3 linked regions of the Mus musculus genome follow. The protein of the gene in region 2 interacts with the protein of the main gene of each other region in a pairwise test. Links are inferred from orthologs where the notes say so. Each region holds a gene or a part of one and is shown on either strand. Other genes may lie near its edges. The genes, in order: Apol8, Ergic3 and Vamp5.

The links.
Region 1: the proteins of Ergic3 (region 2) and Apol8 interact in binary tests that used the Homo sapiens proteins (3 or more experiments, as listed by UniProt). The link is inferred for Mus musculus from reciprocal best matches to the Homo sapiens genes ERGIC3 and APOL2.
Region 3: the proteins of Ergic3 (region 2) and Vamp5 interact in binary tests that used the Homo sapiens proteins (3 or more experiments, as listed by UniProt). The link is inferred for Mus musculus from reciprocal best matches to the Homo sapiens genes ERGIC3 and VAMP5.

Annotation. Positions count from the first base shown.
Region 1 is NC_000081.6:77,747,282-77,749,918, reverse strand, and holds the end of Apol8 (apolipoprotein L2), read left to right. Parts: coding exon 1-564; 3' UTR 565-2,120; downstream 2,121-2,637.
Region 2 is NC_000068.7:156,006,853-156,010,969, reverse strand, and holds the start of Ergic3 (endoplasmic reticulum-Golgi intermediate compartment protein 3), read right to left. Parts: upstream 2,943-4,117; 5' UTR 2,830-2,942; coding exon 2,742-2,829; intron 2,606-2,741; coding exon 2,535-2,605; intron 2,407-2,534; coding exon 2,319-2,406; intron 2,111-2,318; coding exon 1,991-2,110; intron 531-1,990; coding exon 437-530; intron 1-436. UniProt on the Homo sapiens protein: Possible role in transport between endoplasmic reticulum and Golgi. Positively regulates trafficking of the secretory proteins SERPINA1/alpha1-antitrypsin and HP/haptoglobin.
Region 3 is NC_000072.6:72,377,662-72,381,778, forward strand, and holds the start of Vamp5 (vesicle-associated membrane protein 5), read right to left. Parts: upstream 2,808-4,117; 5' UTR 2,723-2,807; coding exon 2,720-2,722; intron 2,444-2,719; exon of another isoform or gene 2,236-2,443; intron 2,113-2,235; exon of another isoform or gene 1,620-2,112; intron 1-1,619. UniProt on the Homo sapiens protein: May participate in trafficking events that are associated with myogenesis, such as myoblast fusion and/or GLUT4 trafficking.

The sequences.
Region 1 (2,637 bases), on a different chromosome or scaffold from region 2:
CTGGTACTCTTGGCAACAGGGATGGGCCTGGGAGCAGCAGCGGCTGTGACTAGTGTCTCCTCTGGGATCGTGGACTACACAAGTAGGTCATTAGCCAAAACGGAAGCCAGCCACCTGGTGTCAACCGGCATGGCCAAAGTGAAGATGGTTGCAGACGCTGTGGTTCATTCAGGACCCCAGGTCTTGTCCTTATCTGAGAATTGCTGCCGTGTCCTACGGTGCATTGAGCAGAGCATCTATGCCATCAAGCTCACCAAAGCCAACCCTGCCTTAGCAGCTAGTGCCATGGGGAGCACCTCTGCCCAAAGTGGTAAGCACGTGAAGAAGGCCTTTAAAGGCACTGCCCTGGCAATAAGCAGAAGAGCCCGGATCATGGGTATAGCCACCGCAGGTGTGTCCCTCGTTGGGGATGTGATCAGCCTTGTGAAACAGTCCAAGAATTTGCACAAGGGCACAAAAGCAAAGTCTGCCGAGGAGTTGAGGCAGCAGGCTCGGGAGCTGGAGGAGAAACTGGAGGCGCTCATCCAGATGTATGAAGGTTTGCAGGCAGGCTCAAGGCGGTAACATGCTTCCTCCCCCAGAGCAGTGCAGAAGACGGGGAGGTGTTCTGGATCTAGAGACTGAAGCATTTTTGTGAGAGGGAATCAGACCCATGAAGTTCAGGACTTAGACATTTGTTCTTTTCAAAACACTTTGTTGTGGTTTTGTTTATATGTGTGTGTGTGTATCTGAGAATGTGGGTGTAGGTACCCTCCAAGGCCAGAAGAGGGCATCAGGTCTCCCAGAGCTGGAGTTACAGGAGGTTGTGAACTGCTTGATGTAGATACTGGGAATTGAACTCATATCCTCAGCAGGACAGCCAGTACTCTTAACTGCTTAGCCACCTTTCCAGCCAGCGTTCGACATTTTCTCTAGCTGAGCATTGTAAGATCAGTGCCGGTAGCTAAGGGAGTGAAGGGAAAAGAATGGGAGCCCGAAACAAGAGACCAGAGGGGACTAGAGAGTGCGGGGCTGGGAGGGAACAGTCAGTTTTGGAGTAAAGAGCTTTGGAGGTTTGAATAAAGAGAGCTGTGTCTGAGCAAGCAAGGAAAAAAGCAGCGAATCTGACACACTGGGAATGGGAGAAAGCCAGAGGAAGAATCCTGGATGTGGAAGAGCCACTGTGACTTCCTCGGATGACCGTGGTGGTGGTGACAGGTGGAGGTGACAGCAGAGTGGGCACGGCAGTTGTCAAGGGGCCAGGGTGCCTTTGAGGACCAGTGGAATTCCATTGACACTCTCTAGGGTGTGCTGGGGTGGAGATTGATTTAGGGATGGGGAGTGGCCCAGATTGGACTGACAGGTCAAGAGACTTTGTGCTGTACTGAGGGCAACCAGCCTGTGGTCAAGAGACATACCTTCTCAGAGACACAGCTTCCTCATGAGTTGGGGGGGGATGGGGGGGGATGATGGACAAGACCACCTCTCTGCTTATCTTCCTCTTCCATCTCATGTTCTATATAGACTTTAGCTCAATGAATATGAGCCAATTAGTCTAGGAAAACGGGGCATCCCAGAGTGAAGGTCCCAAAGTCATAGGTAAGGAAAACAACACGTTAGAGCACGTTTCAGGATGTGAGATAGGAGAGCATCCGCCCTCCTCCTAACCACCCTAACTGCTAGACCCACAGCCCCTTCCCATGAGGCAGTGTGCTCAGTCCAAGGGCAGAGCACAGCCTTGTAGGAGGCACAGAGGTTCTTCTGCTCACAGATAAGCACCAGGGGACCCAGGAAGGTTAGCAACAGGGTTGATCCTTCAAAGGAAGGGATGTATAGCCTGTTATCTGCCCAGAAGACTGGGAGCAGACATGGTTAATAGTTTGGTGACCTTTGTGCTATTTTGTGTCCAAGACCACACCGGATCTTCCCTCTAGATCCTTACTGTGAACTTGTCTATCTACAGAACCCATCGTTATGAAAGATGTCACGTATACAGAAAGAGTTTGACGTAATCATGTCTTAAGCTTTATTGTGCACACAGGAATGAGTTAATTATCACCACGAAAGTGTTCACCAGCTTGCGGCGTGCTTCAATATGTCTAAAATAAACTACTTGGGGCCAGACTCCGACAGTTTGAACCAACACTGGCTACTTAGTTGTATTGAATCAAATTACCTTTCTTGCCTCTTGTAGATTGTTACTCTTCCTGTCATGGTGGCCACAGGGATCCCTGCACAGCTTGTCCCACAAGGCAGCACTCTGTCCTCAGGCTGGCTTGTTCCAGCTTACCCATGCTGAATCCTCTCCTGGCCATTTCAGTAGAGTCCCATGTGGTTACTTCCAGGGTTGAGAGTCATTAAAAGGCAAGGATCCAGCCTTGGGGCATGGATCATATGTGGATAAGCATGGCCTCTCTCCCTGCCCCCTGGTTCTGAAGCATCTTGGAAACACCAGGCTGCTGGGGAGGGCAGAGGCCTGGTGGCCACAAAGCCATGTTCTTCCATTGAGTATAGCGTTTCTTAGGGTTGGGCATGGAAGCACATACCTGTAGCCCCAGCACTTGGTAGGCAGAGGCAGGCAGATCTCTGAGTTGTGATGATGGGGTCATGACAGAGCTGCTCCACCCCTCCTCTCTCTCCAGGCTGTGGCTTCCCTGT
Region 2 (4,117 bases):
CTATAAAAGCCAACTGTCAGCCACATGTAACAGTATTATTTTTCCCCCTCTTCTTTCTGAAAAGTACATCTCTCTAGACCTGTTGAGTCAGTCTTTCAGGGGTTGGGGCTGTGAAGTCGCACAGTGGTTGGCACATAGTGGAGGTGTAATAATGTAGCTTTGGCCCTGTACGTCAGGGCTTTACATATAACATACACTTAACTTTGGCAAGGAGGGTGTTATTATCCCTACATAGAGAAGCAATGTGGCTCAGATTGAAGACAAGGACTGGACGCCTGGCAGCTGGTTCTCTAGGCTGAAGAGCAGGCCCCCTAGGTGTGCAGTTGCCAGCGGGCCTGCTGGCTAACTGTTATCACTTGCATCAGGATGAATAGTGAGGAATATAATGCCTCTACCATCTCAGGTCTCACTCCCCATGCCCTGTGGCGTGGCTCACTTGATGTCTTCTGACTCAGCGCCGTAGCAGCTCTCACAGCGATTGGGGTCCAAGGAGTTGGGGTCAAACACTGTCACCTCGACTTTCCCAAGCTCTGGGCAGGGCAGGGGCAAAAGCACAGCATGAAGCAGACACAGTGACATCCACGGCCACAGCTCCCTCCCACATAAGTCCCTGGGCTGGGGAAAACCAGCCACATACATGATGGTCAGGTGTTAAGGCCATTACATATACTCAGTATCAGAAAACAGCAGTAAACACTAAGAGTCAGTTGGTACAGGCAAGTTCCTGTTGCCCTGTTCCATCCCCTTAGACTCTGAGACTGGGATAGTAGCCCATACCTTTAACCCTAGCACTTGCGAGACAGAGGCAAGAGGATCTGTGAGTTCTACACAGTGAGATGGGCTGAGGGTAACAGAGACAGCAACTTAGGGAAACTGCTCAAAGTGTACACTCTATACCAGGTCTTTTAGAAAGATTACTTATGGGCTGGAGATATGGCTCAGTGGTTAAGAGCACCAACTGCTCTTCCAAAGGTCCTGAGTTCAAATCCCAGCAACCACATGGTGGCTCACAACCATCTGTAATGAGGTCTGATGCCCTCTTCTGGTGTGTCTGAAGACAGCTACAGTGTGTACTTAACAATAAATAAAACCTTCAAGAACAGCCTGGTCTACAGAGTGAGTTCTAGGACAGCCAGGGCTACACAGAAAAACCCTGTCTCGAAAATACAAACAAACAAACAAACAAACAAACAAAAAAACAATAAATAAAATCTTTAAAAAAAGATTACTTATGGGTTGTGTACTGATTATATATTACTGATTCCCCCAACTCAGGATGAGGTTTCCCATGGTAAAATGTCATATTTTAGAATGCACTTAATACATCTAAGACACAGAACATTATAGCTTAACTGATACTGCCTTAAACATTCTCAGAATACTTACCCAGCCAACAGCTGGGCAAACCATCTGACATGAAGACTAGTTCCTAACAAAGCACCGAGTACCTCCAATGACTGAGTCCTCTACGCAAAGTGAAGACCTGAATGGTTGTACAGGCGTGCTTTCAAACCATCTCCAAGTCAGAGTGTTGTAAGCTGAGACCCATCTGTATTGCATCCAGCCCTGCATCATGCTCACAAACTGCAAGACAATGCTAGATCCGAACCCAGGCAACTCTACTCGAGAATTTAAGCTCTTAATCTTAGGATACTCGCACTGCAACGGGGGACAGTACTCTAGCCAATGAGGTGGACAAGCAAACTTCCTTTACCTAAGGAAGACCCATGTTCAAGCTTGAGAAACGATAACCGAGCAAAGTGTCTTGCTCTTAACCACTGGGCCCTCTCTCCAGCCCCTAAGGTATTCTACTCAATGTTCCAATACCAGAAGCATGGATTCAACTGACTCTTGATTTTTAATAGTTGTAGAACCCTAAGCAAGCCAGCTGACTTCTGTCTACGGTGTCACTGAGCCTGCAACGGCCCATGTGTGGAAGGCAGGCATGTCCAGCTGTAGGATCGGAGACCTGTCCCCCTCCCCTGGTTACCGTGCCGTTCAGCCTCTGAGCTCACGGGGACGCCATCCTTGTCTAGTCGTTTCTTGAACAGGTTGTGTTCCACATCCAGCTGCTGCTCCCCGGCCACGTCCATGGCATCGATGCTCAAGTCTGGAAACAGAGAGGCAAGCTAAGGCGCTACGACACCAGGGACCCGGAGAGCTGAGCTTTGATGGGAAAGATGTATCTTGAGGAAGAAATGGACTCGGGGAATGAGGATGGCCTGGCATTCACTCTGGGATCTAAGGCCAGAGGTGTAAATCTGGAAGCCCACCCTACGTCCAGGAGTCCAACTCCCCACTCACAATCGGGTACTCACAGGCACAAGGCATGTGCGGGAAAAGAACATCGATGTTGATCTTCAGTTTATCCCCCCGAGACTTGTCCACGTAGAGCTCAGGATGCACCTAGAGCATGTCTACCTCAGTCAGATTCGCCCCTATGCCTCTCCTCGCCTCTCCTCCCCTCTCCCACCTTTAAGGGTCCTGCCCTTAGAATGCCAGGCCCCGCCCACGCTCTAGGCCACGCCCCTCACCTCCGTAGTGAGATAATACTGCAACTCCGATAGGAAAAGCAGGAGCATGAGAAGGCCACTGACGATGGTCACTGCAGGGCGAGAGCGAGATTTGGAACGGCCTATATCCCACCCCTCAGCCCCTTAGCAGGCCACGGAGGGTCCGGGAGCCCGGGCCGAACGCGAGGACAGCTCCCTCCTTGCAACCCTGCCCGCGCCGAGACCTACCCGTGGCACCCCCGCAGGTCTTGACCCGGAAGTCCTCCAGAGTCTTAGGGTAGGCATCGAACTGCTTCAGCTTCCCCAGCGCCTCCATGGGGACCGGCCGGAAAGGGGACACCAGCCGGCCCGCCCCTCCAGCCTCCCGCTTCCGGCCTGGACCCGGGGTCACGCCCCTCGCTGTCTTGCGCAGGCGTAGCGGTGCGTAAGTGGGGCTCCACCCCCTCACCTGCCTCCTCAAAGGCAGTCTAGCTTGTGGACATTGTCACGCCTCCTCGCGCGGATTGGGCAGTGCTCCGAGAGGGGCGGGCTGGGAGCACAGAGGGCGGTGCTTGGGTGCGGAGTGACAGCACCTGTGGTAAGTGCCTCTCCTTGGACCTTTGGATCTCTTAGGACAGCGCTTCCAACTTGACCCCGCCAGAGCCACCGCAGCGTTAATTAGAATTGGTTCCAAACCGGGGTGGGCGCACTCTTTAATCCCAGCACTCAGAAGACAGAGTCAAGCGGATGTCTGTGAGTTCGAGTTCAGCCTGGGTTACAAAGAGAGTTCCAAGACAGCCAGGGATGTTACGCAAAGAAACCCTGGCTTGAAAAATTACAAAAGAAAAAAGAAAGAAAGAAATCGGTTCCAAGGAAATCATTGGTTCCCTCATTAGAAAGTCAAAAGTGGCTCCAAGGTGTTTCCAATGCGGTTAAGGCATGAGAATCTCTGCAGGGGGAAGTGGGTATTAACTGGCTTGCAAGGTGAAGGCATTTGCTGCCAATTCTGAGTTCTATACCCAGGACCCACATGGTGGAAAAAAACTGATTCTTGCAAAATGTCCTCTGACCTCCATATGAATGCCGTGGCGTGCCCTTGACTACACTCACAAAAAAGTAAATATAATCTATAAGTTATTTTTAAAAGAGAGTGGGTGTTAACTTTGCTTTTTTTTTCAAGCTTAAACTGATCAATAGTGGAACCCAGTTCTGGACTTCAGAGTACCCTGGGTTCTTAAACAGCGTCCAAGTGCTAATCCCAGTGTGGGTCAATAAATAAAATAAAGACGTTCGCTGATTCCACCCCTCCAGGACAAGGCTATGGAGTGGAGATTAAACAAACCCTTATTTGCTTTCTGTTGTAACCCATTAGCTCTAGACAGCTTAATACCGCTATAAAGACTAAAACAAAGTGCTCAATAGTTTTGTTTTAAGAAAGTGTCTTTCTGCTGCTCTGGCTGACCAGGAACACCTGGACTCCTGCCTCAGCCTCTTAGCGTCTCATGGGAGGTTTCTGTTTTGAAGATTTATTAACTATTTTTATGTGTGTCTACATGTGTTTATGTGTACCAGATGATAGTACGGGGCATTGGATCCCTGAAATCTGGACTTATGGGCAGTTCTGA
Region 3 (4,117 bases), on a different chromosome or scaffold from region 2:
CTGTTTCGAAAAACCTAAATAAACAAACAAACAAACAAACAAACAAACAAACATGAAACAGACTCCCATTAAATTGTACAGCCTGGCCGGGGACTTGGGGGTCCTCCTGCCTCTGCCCACAAGTGTTGGGACTACAGGCCTTAAGTGTTGATCAATAGTAACAGCTGCTACCTTTCCGTGGTCACAGGAACCTGACCCAGCACTGAGCTAGCTGTGCATGTGGGTATCTGGCTAAACCTTTACAATAACCCACTGAAGATAGTATTATTGTCCTTGTCTAGAGTAAGTAGGTAACCAACCTGAGGGTAGAATGGACAGAGATTCCACATGTCTAATCCCTGTGCTAAACCAGACGCACAGAAAGTGTGAGGTCTGGTGCCCCTGATGACTGGCTAAAGAGTACTAGCCACTGGATGCCAACTCTGCTTGTGTTCAAAGGAGAAAGGCCCGTGACTACAAGCACAAGTTCTGCCAGACAAATGATTCTGAGGATTATTTTAGGCTGAGCATAGGCCTATGAACCTACCTAATCCCAGTACTCAGTAGGCAGAGTTCGAGGCCAATCACGTCTATATAGTATCTAGTCGGACCTTGTCTAAAAAAATTTATTCTATATCTGGACATGGTGTCAAATACTTGTAATCCTAGCACTTGGGAGGCAGAGGCAGGAGCATTGCTGCAACTTCAAGGCCAGCTTTGTTTACTTAGGTCATTTAAGGGCAGGGTATATAGCAAGACTGCCTCAAAAAAATAGTTAACTCCATTCAGGCACTGTGGCTCAGCGACATCGTGAGTTCTGCATCAATCTGATCTACATGAGACCTTGTCCCCCAAAACCAAACAAGCAGGCTAAATAATTTTTAGTTATTTATGGTGGGGCTGGAGAGGTGGCTCAGCATTTAAGAGCACTTGCTGCTTTTCTAGAAGATCTGGGTTCCTAGCACCCACTTGGCGGCTCACGGGTGCCTAAAATTCCAGTACAAGGTGAAATTCCCTCTTCTGGCCTCCACAGGCACTGCACACACATGGTACCCCGCACACATACATGCAGGGGAAAATTCATACACATGAATAAAATCTTTTAAAATGATCTATGGTGCTAGGAAGATGCCTCCATAAATAAATCCCCTGTTGCACAAGTTTGGGGACCAGAGTCTGACTCCCTAGCACCCACATAAAAGCCAGGCAGTCTGCCTGTAATCCTAGGGGCAGGAAGAAGGGGCCGGTCCCAAGGACAAGCTGGCAGCTAGACGAGACAAACTGGTGAGCTCCAGGTTGAACCAGAGATCCCGTCTCCAAAAATAAAGTGGAAAGCTGTTTAATAAGACACCTGACATCAGCCTCTGACTTCCACATGTATCTAAACAGGCATGTGCCCAGACACGTGAACAAGCGTGCATACCACACATGCAAAAAAATATTGCTCATTTCCATCTCTCATTTTCATCTCCTCCATCACTGTTTTGTGCTATTCCAATGGCAAAAAAGAATTTTTTTCTTAAATCATTTTGACTGAATGAGTCCCAGTGAAGAAAAGGGAAAGGAAAGGGAAATCAGTTGGGGGTGGGGGTATATATGGTAGTCAGAGGGATGGGATGCAGGAGGAAAGAGCTGGAGACAGAAAGGGGGACAAGGGAAGAAGAGATAGATGATGGAGCTGGAGACAGGCTGAAGGGATAAAATTAATGCATCCCCCAGACTCTGAACCCCCAAGGTTCTCCTGAACAGCCAGATAACCTAACCTGGCGCAGCCTTCTTTTCAGAACTTCTCCTCAAGAGCTGAGAGCCAGTTGAAAGACCATCTCTGCCCTGTACTCTCGGAAGTGGGCTCTCAGCTCCAGCCCATTCTCAGAGCCTCCCTCGGTTTCCTGGTGTGGCCTCAAAGCTTAGGGCTACCTTCCTGCCACACTTCCCTTTCCTGCCTCCAGTTCCCTAGAGATGAGGCCATCCAGGCATTGCCACCCCTAGCCAGGCCACATCCATCCCATCTTAGAGTACTAAACTTGCTTCCAGTCTGGCCACCTTCCCAGGAGCCCTGGAAGGTGGGATCCAGGCATCAGTGGTCCCTGACACTTTTGTCTTGGAAATGGCAAGTCTGCAGCAGGAGTGAATGTAGGTGACTCAACTCATGATTATGTTACTAGGTAGAGGTTAGGAAAGAGTCAGCAGGCTGGGTCACAGGGATAACTTCATGGAACTTTTATAGTAAACAACTTATTTTCTCTTTTCCCCCAGGGAAGTGTTTATCTGTCAGCACGTCAGCACGGGGCCTCTACCAGGCATCTGCTCAGGTTTCCAACCCTTGGGCCAGCTCTGGCTCCTCTTAGCCTGGGGAAGAGCTGGAGAGGTCATCGCATTACCTACCACTTCTCAGCAAAGGGTTCTGAGTGCCTGGCAGCAGCGACCATAAACATCTTCTTTAACCTCTCAAGGACCCACCAAGGTAAGTATTGCTGCCCCTACTTCACTGCGCGGAAAAGGAGGCTCGTGGAGGTTAAGTAACTTGCCCGGTATTGCCGGGAGCTGATAACTGCTCCAGGAGCGTGGGAAGCTGTAGCACCGCTCACTCTGCCCCGACGGGGCGCACTCCGAAGTCTCCCTCCCCGGTTGCCTGCAAAGTTGGGGACTAGTCCGTGCGACCAGCGTGACCTATGCCCCTGGGGTTCAGAATCCTGCTTTTTGCCCCTGCACAATCGCCCTCTGCCCCTGCCCGTCTCACCATTGCCTCCGCAGCCGCCGCCGCTGCCTGCTCGCCGGCTCCGATTCCTCTGCCCCGAGCGGCCTCAGTGCCCGCGGCCCGGGAGGAAGCCGTGGGGCGGGGCGGGCCCGCAGCCCAAGAGGGAGGGGGGCGCGCCTTCTCAGAGGTGCCCGTCCCGGGCAAACCGAAAGCGGTGACAGGACCCGTGGGGCGCCTCCTACCGGGCCACAGGCGTCCGATTTCCGATGACACCCCAGCCTGGTGAATTGGGGACCGATGTCTCTTGGATCTGGGGCTGCATCAGGAGTTAGCCCAGGAGGCGTCATTCCGTCATGCAAAAAGCATCTGTGGGAGCTATGTGCTGGAGCTGACATGAACAAGCCAGAAGTATTTGCCACCTTGGTGAGTGCGTCTCACCCGAAATTAAAAACACACCAACCACTCCAAAGTTCTGATTATTTACAGACGGAACAGGCAGTATTCTGAATACATTGTATGTCACCGAGTTATACCCTTAAAAATGGTAAGCTAGGGCTGGTGAGATGGCTCAGTGGGTAAGAGCACCCGACTGCTCTTCCGAAGGTCCGGAGTTCAAATCCCAGCAACCACATGGTGGCTCACAACCATCTGTAACAAGATCTGACGCCCTCTTCTGGAGTGTCTGAAGACAGCTACAGTGTACTTACATATAATAAATAAATAAATCTTTTTAAAAAATGGACTCGCGTTGTGGAAAGAACCAACTCCTGCAAGTTGGCCTCTGATCTCCATACATTGGGGGAGGAAGATTTTTAAAATGCTAAAGTGTTGCAGACATTTCTGTGAGCTAAAAGTCTCAATGGTGTGTGGATGGATCTCAAGTTTTGAACCAACAAGAGGCAGAAGAGGCAAAGGAGAAGATGGGAGCCAGCTTCCAAAGTGGTACTCAAGCAGAGACCATCTCTTTTGGATAAGAATAAAATACAAACTACACAGACTGTCTTGAAGAGTTTCACAGCATGAGTTTAGGACAGAGTTGCAAGCTGCTGCAAGGAAAACAAACAGGTGTTGCCCAGCCTGAGAACACACACTTTCTCTTAGATTCCTGGTGTGGGCCTTGCGGGATGGTCCTCTAACAGGTGAGGAAGATGGAGTTCTTGACGAAGAGAGATGCCGAGGAAACTGCGGCTTTTCTTGCAGAACTGGGAACTGAGAAGTCCTTTCCTTAATCTCATTGGCCCGTCCCAGCCTCAGGCCAACTTCAAGGTTAAAATGAGGTTGTTTGTAAAGAACTGTGCAAAAGGTGCAGAAAGCCTGAAGACTTGTAAAGGATACGCTGTGCTCTGAATTCCACAAAAAGCTCACGGAGGAATATATTAAGTGGTGCTGTTTTATGTGCTTAATCGAAGGCTAAAATGTGAGACCGCAGAGACGGCTCAG